Regions from separate parts of the Mus musculus genome. Here regions 1 and 3 are each reported to be linked to region 2. Evidence: microRNA targets listed by miRTarBase, many of them from high-throughput screens and not tested one by one. Region 2 holds a microRNA gene; each other region holds the end of a gene's coding sequence.

What was found. The annotated mature microRNA mmu-miR-677-5p reads UUCAGUGAUGAUUAGCUUCUGA and lies in region 2 at 2,944-2,965, shown strand. An mRNA with a match to its seed (bases 2 to 7 or 8) in the 3' UTR can be bound and repressed. Matches are read on the target gene's strand: a 7mer-m8 pairs with bases 2 to 8, a 7mer-A1 pairs with bases 2 to 7 and ends in A, and an 8mer does both.
Region 1: miRTarBase lists Josd1 as a target of mmu-miR-677-5p. Seed matches in the 3' UTR shown: 7mer-m8 at 881-887.
Region 3: the mRNA of Nbl1 is a reported target of mmu-miR-677-5p. Seed matches in the 3' UTR shown: 8mer at 886-893.

What each region holds. Positions count from the first base shown.
Region 1 is chr15:79,672,476-79,676,648 of GRCm38, reverse strand. Josd1 (Josephin domain containing 1) reads left to right here. Exons shown (of 4, transcript NM_028792.3): 4 at 470-2,399. The coding sequence ends at 569. It overlaps Tomm22 (translocase of outer mitochondrial membrane 22), which reads right to left. Exons shown (of 4, transcript NM_172609.3): 4 at 3,787-4,173. Among named protein-coding and RNA genes, the nearest start is that of Tomm22, 3.7 kb to the right of the region's middle.
Region 2 is chr10:128,082,348-128,086,493 of GRCm38, forward strand. Mir677 (microRNA 677) reads left to right here and starts at 2,939; the gene lies at 2,939-3,016. It overlaps Atp5b (ATP synthase, H+ transporting mitochondrial F1 complex, beta subunit), which reads left to right and starts at 960. Exons shown (of 10, transcript NM_016774.3): 1 at 960-1,106; 2 at 1,545-1,727; 3 at 1,950-2,124; 4 at 2,744-2,865; 5 at 3,095-3,279; 6 at 3,691-3,849; 7 at 3,951-4,073. The coding sequence starts at 980. Snord59a (a small nucleolar RNA gene) reads left to right here and starts at 1,795; the gene lies at 1,795-1,869.
Region 3 is chr4:139,079,464-139,083,636 of GRCm38, reverse strand. Nbl1 (NBL1, DAN family BMP antagonist) reads left to right here. Exons shown (of 4, transcript NM_008675.2): 4 at 35-1,345. The coding sequence ends at 292. Among named protein-coding and RNA genes, the nearest start is that of Htr6, 6.0 kb to the right of the region's middle.

The sequences.
Region 1 (4,173 bases), not on the chromosome of region 2:
TGTGTTCAGGTGCCTGTGTGCTCCTGGGCATGTGTGGAGGTCAGAGGACAGTTCCCAGGGCTGGTCCTCCCCTTCACTGTGGGTTCCTAGGATCTCAGTCAGATTGTGAGGCCTGCTTGGCAAGTGCTGTACACCCAAGTTTGCTGCTGCTTTGTTTGTGTGAAGCTTAGTAACCACTAGAATGTGCAGTGTTCTTGTCCTTATGCCGGCAGCCACTAGTGACAAGAACATATGAGAATGTGCAGGAACTGAGACAGATTCTAGCAGGAATGGAAGGGTAACCAGTCACCCTTTGAGTTTTAAGATCGTCATGGGTGTAGCTTGGTGGTGGTGGGAGACACCCATAATCTACTTGAGAGGAAGAGACCGGTGGACCTCTGATGGGGAGGATTCTGGTGAGTGGGTGGTCCCGGGACTGCAATCTGCAACTCACTGGCATCTCATTTCTTGCCTATTCCCTTTTCCACAGGAAATTTCTAAAATACCATTTGCGAGGTAAAAACTGTGAACTCCTACTGGTTGTACCGGAAGAAGTGGAAGCCCATCAGAGCTGGAGGGCCGACGTGTGACAGTTGTTTGACCCTCTTTGTCTCAACCCTCCAGACCTCTTTGATGTGCTGTGGCCTCTACAGTCCACTTCCCCAAACATCTCATTGGGTTTTCCCTTCAGATTTGCCAGTGCAATAGGACAGATGTGTGGACTGTCACAGAGCCACCCAGCAGTCTGTGCCTGGGGGAAGAAGGTAGGAGCTCTGAACACTTAGGGCAAGCCATTGAACCCTTTGCTATTTCAGAGAGGGAGCCAAGAAGGGCGTCCTTTGAGGGGGCTGGGTTATTTCTCCCTTTCCATAAGGTCTTGATACAGGCTCTGCTGGTAGTGTCACTGATGCTTCAGGCTTACGGAAAGGCCGCCCCTTTTCTCTCCTGTGGCACCATGGGGTCTGAGGACACAGTACATGCAGAGCCAAGAAACTGTCAAGACTCCAGCAGTCACACTGCATGTCACCTGCAGTCCATTAGGCCTCTTCTTGGTCCCTTTAAACCCCAGCCAGCCTTGGGGTTTTATAAGAGGCTCTGCTATTCCAAAATAGGTGAATTGCACATCATTCTAGCAAGACAGTGGTGAAAGATATGCCTAATACCACGTGGGTAAAGCCAGAGTAGGGTAGTCACTGGTGGCTCTTCACTCTAATCGTGTCCCTATCATTTCACTACATTGACTGGGGAGGCTTTGGGACAAGACAATGAACAGGGAGAGTACTCATAGTTGGCCCATTTTTAGCAAAATCAAACACATCTACACTGACCTAAAATTCCATAGTTTGGGACAGAGTTGGGCGAGGAACTGCCATGAAGGTAAGCTTCAGGGTTTGAGCCCGGTAGGCACGTCCTGAGCTCCAGAGCTGTGGCAGCAATCTCAGGTTGGCTGTATGCATCAAGCTAGAGCCTCTGAGTTTGGCGTCTGTGTAGTTTCTTTGACAAACAGGGTTGGCTTGCCCCACTTCAACTAGTTCTAGATCATTTTTTTCTTGTAATTTTGGAAAATGAGGGGAAATAATTACCATACCCCCATACCAATGTGTTTGTGGTGGCCTTCAAGGCAGGTGACCTGGCCAGCCCTTACCGATCCATGGTCTCTGCAGGTCTGAGAGCTGCCCCACTGGCCTGCTTCTTCTCCCTTGGCAGCAGAGCTACCTGGGGCTTGCATGTTAATCCTGAGCAAGCTTGTTGGGGTGAAGGGGGGCTGTCTCCCCACTGTGACTGGAGTGCATGTTTACACCAGCACTTTTTCTGCACATGTATCTTCAATCCAACAAGGCCGTTTTTTATTCAAGTGGCAGAGGCCTCGAGTGGCTACTGCACTGCGCTCAGCCATGGTCATCTGCACCATTTTCTACACCAGATCTGCTTGGCACCATGGGGAACTCTGCCCCTGCACAATGACATTCCAATCACTACCAGCCAGAAGTTACAGCCGACCTTGCTGATTGTCACAAGCAGGACCTTGGGTCCATTGGCACTGTCGGTGATAGTAAGCCATTTCTTGGGAAGAGGAGACTCTTCCCTACAGATCTGCTTGGGCCTGTGCAAATGGCACTGCAAACGAGCCACACACACGTGGAGTCCATGAGCTAGTGGGATGTACAAAGACGCTTAAGCATTTCAGGGCTGGTTCTGTTCATATCCAATTCTGGTGCTTAGGAACAGGGACCCATGTTAATGCCCCAGGGCAAAGCCCCACTCCTGTGAAGGAAGGGGCAGCCTGACCCTGACGCCCAGCAAGGGGCAGCCCTAGGCTTTGTTTTTCTTGCTTTATTCCCTTTTCTGTTGGCCTTGTGCTGGGTTTGTTTACAAAGATGTATTTTGTTTAACCAAATATTAAAAATGAAAAGCTGAACACAAGTCTACTTGTCTGATTATGTAAAAACCTTTGGCAGGATTTTGTCATAGAAGGGATGTCACCACTCTGAGACACAGTAATCAGATTTCCTAGCTGAAAAACCAAGAGAAAGTACTCACTTTGTGAGATTAGTTCAGAGGTGCCCCGACCACACTGCTGTGCTTGCAGTGGGGAGGCTGTGTCAGGAGGATCCGTCTGGATTACAGTGGAGGAAAGGCTGGGTACACTGGAGCTACAGGCCTGGAGAGCATATGACGTCAGCAGGCTTTGTGCAGATTCCTTAACCCATAGGAATACCACAACCTCCTAAATCACGTGAAGAGCTTAGAAAACCTGCACAATAAATCAAAGCCAAGCTAGATGTGGTTCTACAGCACTGCCCCAATTCTCAGGAGGTGGTTTTTCAGGTAGGAGATTGGATTGAGGTTTCTCAGAGGCAGGCAATTCTGAGTTTCAAGTCAGTATGGTCAACATAGACCCCATTTCTAGAGAAAAACAAAAGGCCAGTATTGAGTAGAAAGACTGCAGGGCTCAAAAAGAAGAGCTACAGTTGGATCTATTATCAGAGACTCTGCTGTTACTTAAAATAAATAAGCCGGACAGTGACAACGCATGCCTTTAATCCCAGCACCTGGGAGGGAGAGGCAGGCAGATTTCTGAGTTCAAGGCCAGCCTGGTCTACAGAGAGTTCCAGGGCTATACAGAGAAACCCTGCCTTGAAAAACCAAAAATAATAATATGTCTTTACCAGGTGTGCATGCCCATGATCCCTCAGCACTCAGGAGGACCAAGTTGAAAGCTAACCTGGGCTCTGGAGAGATTCTACCCACCAATAAAAACAAGAATATGATAACAAGCTCTATTTGCAAACCTCCTCTTTCTCAAGACTATAAGGCAAACATACAGAAAACAGGTTATAAATACAGTATAGTCTGCATATCCAGAGTCTGGCCTGCACTTTCTGTGGAGGGAGTCTTGAATTTGAGGCAATAATCACTACTATGTTCAATAATAAATGTTCTCTTTCCTTTTTGGAAACTTCACTAAACAGGAATTGGTGACTCCTGCCCTTAATCCTAGCACCTGGAAAGCAGAGGTAGGCAGGTCTGAGTTCTCAGCCAGCTCTAGTCTACAAATTAAGTTCCAGGATAGCCAAGGCTACACAAAGAAACAGTCTTGAAAAAAAAAAAAAAATAAAACAAACAAAAAACATACCACACACACAAGGAAAAGAAGAGAAAGCTTTTTGAGGTCAGACTGGTCTATGAAATGAGGTTGAAACAGATGCTGGCTGAAGCCAGAGGAAATTTGGCAGGCAGTGTTCCTGGCTTTCTAAAACAACCTAGGTGTGAAATACTACCACAAACACAGCAATAACACTTTCAGTTCGAGTTCTTTTAATATTTAAATACAAAAAGTGAGCGCTGACTTCTTTTTTATACATAAGCAGGTCTAAGAGCCAAACTCTGCAGAGGAAATGAGTGCCTGCTCTGCCCAGTCCCCCTCTGGCTAAAGCTACAGCCAGCCTCCCTTCTCTCTGGGATTCCTGGTGACTTCTGTACTCAGGTATAATGAATTTTGTCAGTGCCACGGTGCTTACATGTCCTAGACATTTCCATTAAAAAAAAGTCCTTATGGTCAGGGGTACTTACTTCTTTCCCACAATGGGCATGTAAGAACTTCCTTAGGAGCAGTTTATTAGAGAGTAGGCTAACCTTCCACATGGCTGTACTCCAGCATTGGAGTGAGAACAGGAAGAAGTAAGTGAGGGA
Region 2 (4,146 bases):
ACACACTTCTGGCCAGCCTCCACTTTCATTCAAAAGTCCTTTGAGACCTGGCATCATCTCCCTATAGGGTCGGATTTCGTTTTTTTTTTTTTTTTTTTTTTTTTTGCCTTATCTACAACCAAACCGAAGAAATGTGGTTTCAGGCAAAGGCTCGCTTAGCGTATTCTTCCTTTCTACTTTACTTTACGGATTTCTGCACACACATATCACAGCAAAGGTCTATTACTTCTGACCTTTCATTTTGTGTTTGAGACAGGGTCTCAAGGGGCTTCAGTTGGCTCCTGGAATCTTGAGCCTTCACCTGTCAAGTTCTGGAATTACAGGGTTCTGTCAGTACGTCTGCTTAGGGCAATTCTTTACATAAGTAGGTGACTCTAAATTACCCCTCGAGTGTTATAAATAAATAACCTTGTCTCCTCGATGCAGAACGTCTGTCGAAGGATGGGTCGCTTTAGTTTCTTTCGTTGCACGGATTTATATGATAAAGAGCCTCCAGGTTTCGGACCTGCTGGGCCGCCTGGAAACTTCCACCCTCACTACTGTCGAGGAAACCCCACGTTTTGGAGCCACAGAAGGTTCCTGACTTTCAGGACGCCGCCACTCAACCTTAGCGGCTGTCACCTAACTCAAGGTCCAAGGACAGTCAAAGACGGCCTAGTGCACAGGTTCAACGGAACCCCGCCCCTTTATTTCAACGTAGTTCCGCCAAAAACCTCTCCTACTGACGTTCCCATGGGCCAATTAGGTTTCGAGGCTTAGAGGGCGGCTCCTCCAATTAAAAAAGAGAATTTTCAGATTGGCACCAGTTTAGACCAATAGCTGATAAGCTCCGAGTTTTTTTACCCTATAGAAGCGTTAGTGGTGATGACGAACAGCAAAATCACCCAATTACTGTGCCTACGGCGGAGGTTGCCCCGCCCCAGCTGCAGGACCGGCGGAGAGGACCGCTTCGGCGCTCAGTCTCCACCCGGATTCCGCCATGTTGAGTCTTGTGGGGCGTGTGGCCTCGGCCTCGGCCTCCGGGGCCTTGCGGGGACTCAGCCCTTCGGCGGCTCTGCCACAGGCGCAGCTTCTACTGCGAGCTGCTCCCGCCGGGGTTCATCCTGGTAAGCGCCTTCCTGGAGGAGCTAGTTCGGTTCTTCTCCCCGTGACCTTGAGCTTGGGCCTATCGGATCCGTTCTCCATAAGGATTCCCGGGCAGCGGACTACTGTCCAGCCGAGGAGTGCAAGGACAGTCGCCCGTGGGAGCGTTGATATAACCAGCAGCGTCCCATTTTGTGAGGCTAGAGTGGCCGGCAGCTGCCTCGACCTTGAGGTTTTGAGGGGGATACCAAACTCGAGAATAATGGCGGTTCTGTGCACGAGGTCGGGAAAACAGTGCGGGTGGGTTCCCGATTGCAGCGTGCCCTTCTCCATGCCTCCTCCTATCTTGCAGGAGACTTAGTCTGGGCTCAGCTAACCTTCCCTCGGGGGATAAATCTGGGATTCGGGTGACCTTAAGCTGTCCTAACACCAACGCCTTCCAATACCTTTTTGTCTGCTAGCCAGAGACTATGCGGCGCAGGCGTCTGCGGCCCCGAAGGCAGGCACTGCCACCGGGCGAATCGTGGCAGTCATCGGCGCTGTGGTGGACGTCCAGTTCGATGAGGGATTACCACCCATCCTAAATGCCCTGGAAGTGCAAGGCAGGGACAGCAGACTGGTTTTGGAGGTGGCCCAGCATTTGGGTAAGTAGGACGTTTTAGAGGTGGGAAAGAGCTTGTTAGGCTTAAATAACACGAGATCGTGCCATCTCCATTCTGTGATGACTTTACCAAATGACTTTCGTTCTTCTGAGTTTGCTGAAGCCACACTCAGGTGCTGAGAGGGGAGGCCTGTTTGCTTTTGATCACCCTTCATTACATACTGTTAGGTTTTGGTGCTTATAACGTGTTAATGCTGATTGACAGGGGAGAGCACGGTCAGAACTATTGCTATGGATGGCACTGAAGGCTTGGTTAGAGGCCAGAAAGTACTGGATTCAGGGGCACCAATCAAAATTCCTGTTGGTCCTGAGACCTTGGGCAGAATCATGAATGTCATTGGAGAACCTATTGATGAGAGAGGTCCTATCAAAACCAAACAGTAAGTTTCTCTCACTGCATTTGTGAACATGGGAACCTTTTCTTGCAGTTGTACACATGGGGTAATAACTGGTAGTAAAGCAACATTTTCCTACAGTACTACTTCCATTTCTGTTGTATTCAGTTATTGAAAATGAAGATACAGAAGTTTGGATTGTTGAAAACTTGCTACATAGAACCCCCTGTTACTTTTTTTAAAGCTGTGTTACATTATGGATTCTCTAAAATTTACAGGTTTTTATTTTCTTATTGTTATATAAAGAAACTTTGTTATATTAAGTTCAGTAAAAGGAAAATATCAAAAAAGAGGATTATTTGTTCTTGAGACTTTTTTTTTTTGGTTTTTCGAGACAGGGTTTCTCTGTATAGCCCTGGCTGTCCTGGAGCTCACTCTGTAGACCAGGCTGGCCTCGAACTCAGAAATCTGCCCGCCTCTGCCTCCCAAGTGCTGGGATCAAAGGCGTGCGCCACCACGCCCGGCGAGACAATATTTTTTATTGCAGAGAGATGATGTTCTGTGACAGCTTAACTTGAACAAGATTAGACTTGACTGTTTGTGGTGGCCAGTGGCTTTTGAGCATGGTGCCTGGTTCTGACCCTTTCCTCCCTGAACCTTACAGATTTGCTCCTATTCATGCTGAGGCTCCTGAGTTCATAGAGATGAGTGTTGAGCAGGAGATTCTGGTGACTGGGATAAAGGTTGTGGATCTGCTGGCCCCATACGCCAAGGGTGGGAAAATCGGTACGTTGGTTTTTGGTCCGTGTTTTCCAAATACAGTAAAGCATGGAGACCCTTTTTTCTTTTGAGAGTGCTTGAGCCTTCAGTGATGATTAGCTTCTGACTTTCGTTCTTCTGAATTTGCTGAAGCCAGATGCCGTTCCTGAGAAGGGGAAAATGGACAGAACTGAACATTTTTGAAGGCTGTTTAATTTGGGAATGCAGAGATCTGAAATATTTCTTCTTAAACTAGGACTCTTTGGAGGTGCTGGCGTTGGAAAGACAGTACTGATCATGGAGCTAATCAACAATGTCGCCAAAGCCCATGGTGGTTACTCTGTATTTGCTGGTGTTGGTGAGAGGACCCGTGAGGGCAATGATTTATACCATGAAATGATTGAATCTGGTGTTATCAATCTAAAAGATGCCACTTCCAAGGTGAGCTCCATTCAGAAAACTAATGTGTTATGTTTGATGTGATGAGCCCCGGGTTCTGTAAACAAAATAGTTGTCTTCCCACCACCATTTTCCAGAATACCAGTGTACACTTCTCTGGTGTGAGATATTTCTAGACTTTTTGATGAGTAAGTAATCCAATTTGAAAGCTGATTTAAAAGGTGTAGAATGGAAGCCACTCACATATCTCAGTCTTACTTTTAGTTTAGAAATTATTTCCAGTGTTCTCAATTTCATGAAGGTTCCAAACAGAAACATTGGCATCCAGTGGAAGATCCCATTAGTGGTGTCTCTCTCTCTCTTCCCCTCTCTTCTCTCTGATTGGGAATCTTGGATTTCTCTGTGGCTTCCTTACTACTCTGCTGTCTTTTCTGACTTGTGTATGTTTTACAGGTAGCGTTGGTATATGGACAGATGAACGAACCACCTGGCGCTCGAGCCCGGGTAGCTCTGACTGGTTTGACCGTTGCTGAATACTTCAGAGACCAGGAGGGCCAAGATGTCCTGCTGTTTATTGACAACATCTTCCGCTTTACCCAGGCTGGCTCAGAGGTAGGGGGGAAGCCTCGAGGCCTGGTTTGTTGAGCCAGTTGGGCATATTAGAAGAAAGATGTAGACACCTAAGACCATTATTCTTTACTTCTGTCTTTTAGGTGTCTGCCTTATTGGGCAGAATCCCTTCTGCTGTAGGCTACCAGCCCACCCTAGCCACCGACATGGGCACAATGCAGGAAAGGATCACCACCACCAAGAAGGGATCGATCACCTCGGTGCAGGTAATGAAAAAAACCAACCTAGGGAGATAATAACACCATATTATACTTGGGGCTAGAGAGATAATTCACAGTT
Region 3 (4,173 bases), not on the chromosome of region 2:
GAAACATCCCTTTTCTTCCTCCTGCTCCTCCCAGGTGACCTTGGAGTGCCCTGGCCACGAGGAGGTGCCCAGGGTGGACAAGCTGGTAGAGAAGATTGTACACTGCAGCTGCCAGGCTTGCGGCAAGGAGCCCAGTCACGAGGGCCTGAACGTCTATGTGCAGGGTGAAGACAGCCCGGGCTCCCAGCCTGGACCACACTCCCATGCCCATCCCCACCCTGGGGGCCAGACCCCTGAGCCCGAAGAGCCTCCTGGAGCCCCTCAGGTTGAGGAAGAGGGGGCTGAGGACTGAGGGCCCCCAACTCTTCCTCCCCTCTTGTTCCCTGTGGAATGTCGGTCCCACCCTCCAGGGAAGAGGGAGGGGATAGGCAGAAGCCCCCCTCCCCCTTTGGCACTGGATGGACTTGGAATGCTGCCTGGTTGTCATGGAGATCTGAAGGGAGGGGCTGGAGCCAAGCTGCACAATTTAATATATGCAAGATGGGGGAGGAAGCAGACAGACATCCGCAGGACTTTTCTTTTGGAAGGTGAAGTGTGGTCTTTCCTTTCGGCCTTCTAGAGAGATGAGCCCCCCACCCCCACCCGGGATAGAGAGGAAATGGGCTGAGCTGCTGAGGATGAGTGAGATCCTCAAACAGGGCAGGCCCAGGCCAGGACCCACACAACTGATGGGGGCAGGATCCCCAGTGATGGGTCCAGAGTGGGAATCAAGTCCTTTGCTGAAGGACCTATGTGGGAAGACCGCTTGCAGAGGTCGGAAGCTCCAGTCCCATAGGTTTCCCTAACGACCTCCCTCACTCCCCAGTGCCAGGGAAGTAACCCCTTCAATGGAGTGGCTTAGGAGTCAGGCTGGGGCAGGACCCTGCTGACTCAAGTGCCAGAGTGTCACTGAAGAAGAAAGAAGATCCCTCCCATCTCTCCCTCTGGAGATCTTAGCTCTCTGCTCCCCGTGTTCTGGACCCTTTAGGGAAGTAGCTGCAGCCAGCCCTGCTGTCTTTGGGGCCGGTCTTTCTGAAAGAGGTGATGGTCCATCTCCATCACCTGGGACCATAGTGGACAGGAGGCCCCTGCATAGGGCCCCCACTGACCTCAGCTTTCTCTAGCTCCCTAGTCTAGCCACTCCTCCTTCCCAGCTGCACTTTAACCCTAGGGCAGGGCAGGTGGCAAGGAAGGGCCCTCTGTCCCCTGATATGCTGGTACCATTGTTTGTGTCCAGGGGATGCCAGCTCACCTCCCTGGGGGTGCCCCGGCCCGTGGCTGTTCGACGAGAGCCTTAGAGCTTGTAACTAGTAGCCATCTCCCCTGGACCCGAGTGTTTTCATGAATAAATACCTTCAATGCCTCTATTCTCTTCCTCGTGGACTGGCTCTCTGAATCCAAGCTGGTTGTGGGCCCAGGGATGGAGGCTGGGTTTGGTCTGGGCAGTGCGGGTCACCTCCTCTCTTGGGTTTGTGTCTGCATTTCTGCCTTGCTTACACGTGGCTGGACCTAGCCAACTAGATCTGGACACTTGATCCCTTGGGATCTCTCTCGCCATCTCTTTGCTCTCAGTGACCCAGCATGAGCCTTGGTACTTGTCACCAGCCTGGGCCAAGCCCCAGAAAAAGATGAAACAGATGAACCCCCAAATCAACGATTACAAATGAATATAAGGTTGTACCCATGCGCTAGAAAGTTCGCACAGAATAGATCATCTTACCCAGCCATTTGGATCCTGTCCTTTTTTTTTTTTTTGCTTGGTGCAGAGAACTTAGTCATCTCTCCAGGGCCATCTTGTTAAATGCCACCAAGAATCAACCCCAGACAATCTGGGCCAGCATCCATGCCAAGTTTGGCATGAGCATTCATTCAGCAGCTTGCAGTGGAACTCGCTCCTTTTCTCTTCAGAGTGCTCTCCATTTAGGCTGTGGGTGTCAACTTGACCCGCAGCAGCTCACAGGTCTCCCGATGTCACTTCAACGTGGCAGTCACCGGCATCACCAGCAATGAATTTGCTCCTAGAGGTCCCCAGCGCTGTACCTCTGAAGCCCCGTGCCTCGGGTCTGAGAGCTGTCTTGCCAGCAGCTGTCTTTCTCTAGGGAGCTTCTTAGCTTGTGGAAAGATAATTCACGGAGACAGTGGGGAGACATGCAGTGGAGAGACTACTGACAGGCTGCTGGCACACCCTGAATGGCAGCCGGAGATGGGAACGTAGGCTCTGCGGAGCTAGGTGTCAGAACGACTTAGGGTAAATGGGAAAAGAGAAGCTGGAGACCAAAGGCCTGAAGGCAGCAGGACGGCTGGCCGGTGGCACCGGTACAACGGCCAGCAATTTTCTAGGGGCAGTGCGGTTGGAGAGGCTAGGCCAGCTGAGAGAGATAGGGACCTAAGGAAAATCAACCTCTGGTGGGATGTGGACGTCTTGCCAGGGAGAGGACCCAGATCTCAGGGATGAAAAAAAAATTTTGTGCGTATGCACCTGGGGGTGCACAGCGACATGCACAGGCCAGAAGACAACTGTGAGTGTCATTTCTCAGATGCCATTCACCTTGATTTGGGGACAAAGTCTCTCTCTCTCTCTCTCTCTCTCTCTCTCTCTTTTTTTTTTGGTTGTTGTTGTTTTTTTGAGACAGGGTTTCTCTGTATAGCTCTGGCTGTTCTGGAACTCACTTTGTAGACCAGGCTGGCCTCGAACTCAGAAAACCACCTGCCTCTGCCTCCTGAGTGCTGGGATTAAAGGTGTGCACTGCCACCGCTCGGCCGGGGACAAAGTCTCTTATTGACCTAGATAGAACTTAGCAAGTAGGCCAGGATAGTTGGTCACTGAGTACCAGGACTCCCAGTTTCCACCTCCCCAGACCTGGAACCTGTGCCACCACACCAGGTTTATGTGTGTATGTGCACCCGCATGTAGCCACATGTTTGCCATTGTGTCCATGTAGAGGTCAGAAAACTTTTGGGAGTTGGTTCTCTCCATCATGGGGGCACAAGATATTGAAAGATTATCAGGCTTGGTGGGAAATGCCCTTACCTGCCATCTTACCTTCCCCGTCCCCAACATCAGTGTGTGTGTGTGTGTGTGTGTGTGTGTGTGTGTGTGTGTGTGTGTGTGACCAGGTCTTTAGCCTAGGCAGGTTACGACTGTGACTCTCTTGCCTCTATTTTTGGAGTGCTGATACTACAGCGGTGTGCCACCATGCCCGATTTATCTAGCGCTGGGGATGGAAGCCAAGCCTTCATGCATTGAGGCAAGCACTCTACGAATGGGTTGACCCTATTCTCTGTCTTTGGGAAGATGTCGTTCTAGAGCCTAGTGTTGATTTAAACTTGTGGTCCTCCAGCCTCAGTCTCAAAGGTCCTGGGGTTACAGGTATGTGCCATCAAATTTGCAGAAAATAGAATTTGAGAAATCTCACGAGCTGCATCCACTCGAAGTATTTGTGTACATACATGTATATGTACATGTACATGTACATACATGTATATGTGCATGTATGTAGTATGTATGTATGTGTGTGTGTGTGTGTATGTGTGTATGTGTGTGTGTATGTGTGTATGTATGTATGTATGTATGTATGTATGTATGTATGTATGTATGTATATATATATGTATGGGGTAGTGATTTTAGAGTTTTGCCTCCACCAAGCATGAACTAAGCCAATAAGAGAACACAGCAGCTCCTCACCCCTTTGCACAAGCAGTGAGGGCTTTAGCATCTTTACAGATTAGCAATCGAGACAAGATGGCTGCCTCGCTAGAGCTGGCTTCCCAGTCTTGTTTGGGACCGGCTAGCAAATGGTCCTTCCCCTGCTCCTGGCCTCTGGGCAGATCTGCACCACCTGGGTTCAAATCCTGGCAAGGTCACTTCGTGACTTCGATTCTCGAGAGATCACAGAGTGGGAACTATTGCTCACGGTCAAGTCTGCTCTCAGGGTGACGGTAGGCTTGCTGTGAGCTAGTGCACACGGCCAGCTGGGAGCAGTGACGGGCATTAGGTCATACCTCAGGAAGCATCAGCTGCTGTGATCATGGAGAATGAGTGACAGGCCCACATTTTGAGCAGCTGCATGGATGATTTGTCTGCTTATTCATTCTCTCATTAGACAGCAATGTATTAAGAACCCAGACTTTGGGCCAAAATAGATGGCTCAGCGGTTAAGAGCACTGGCTGCTCTTCTAGAGATCCTCAGTTC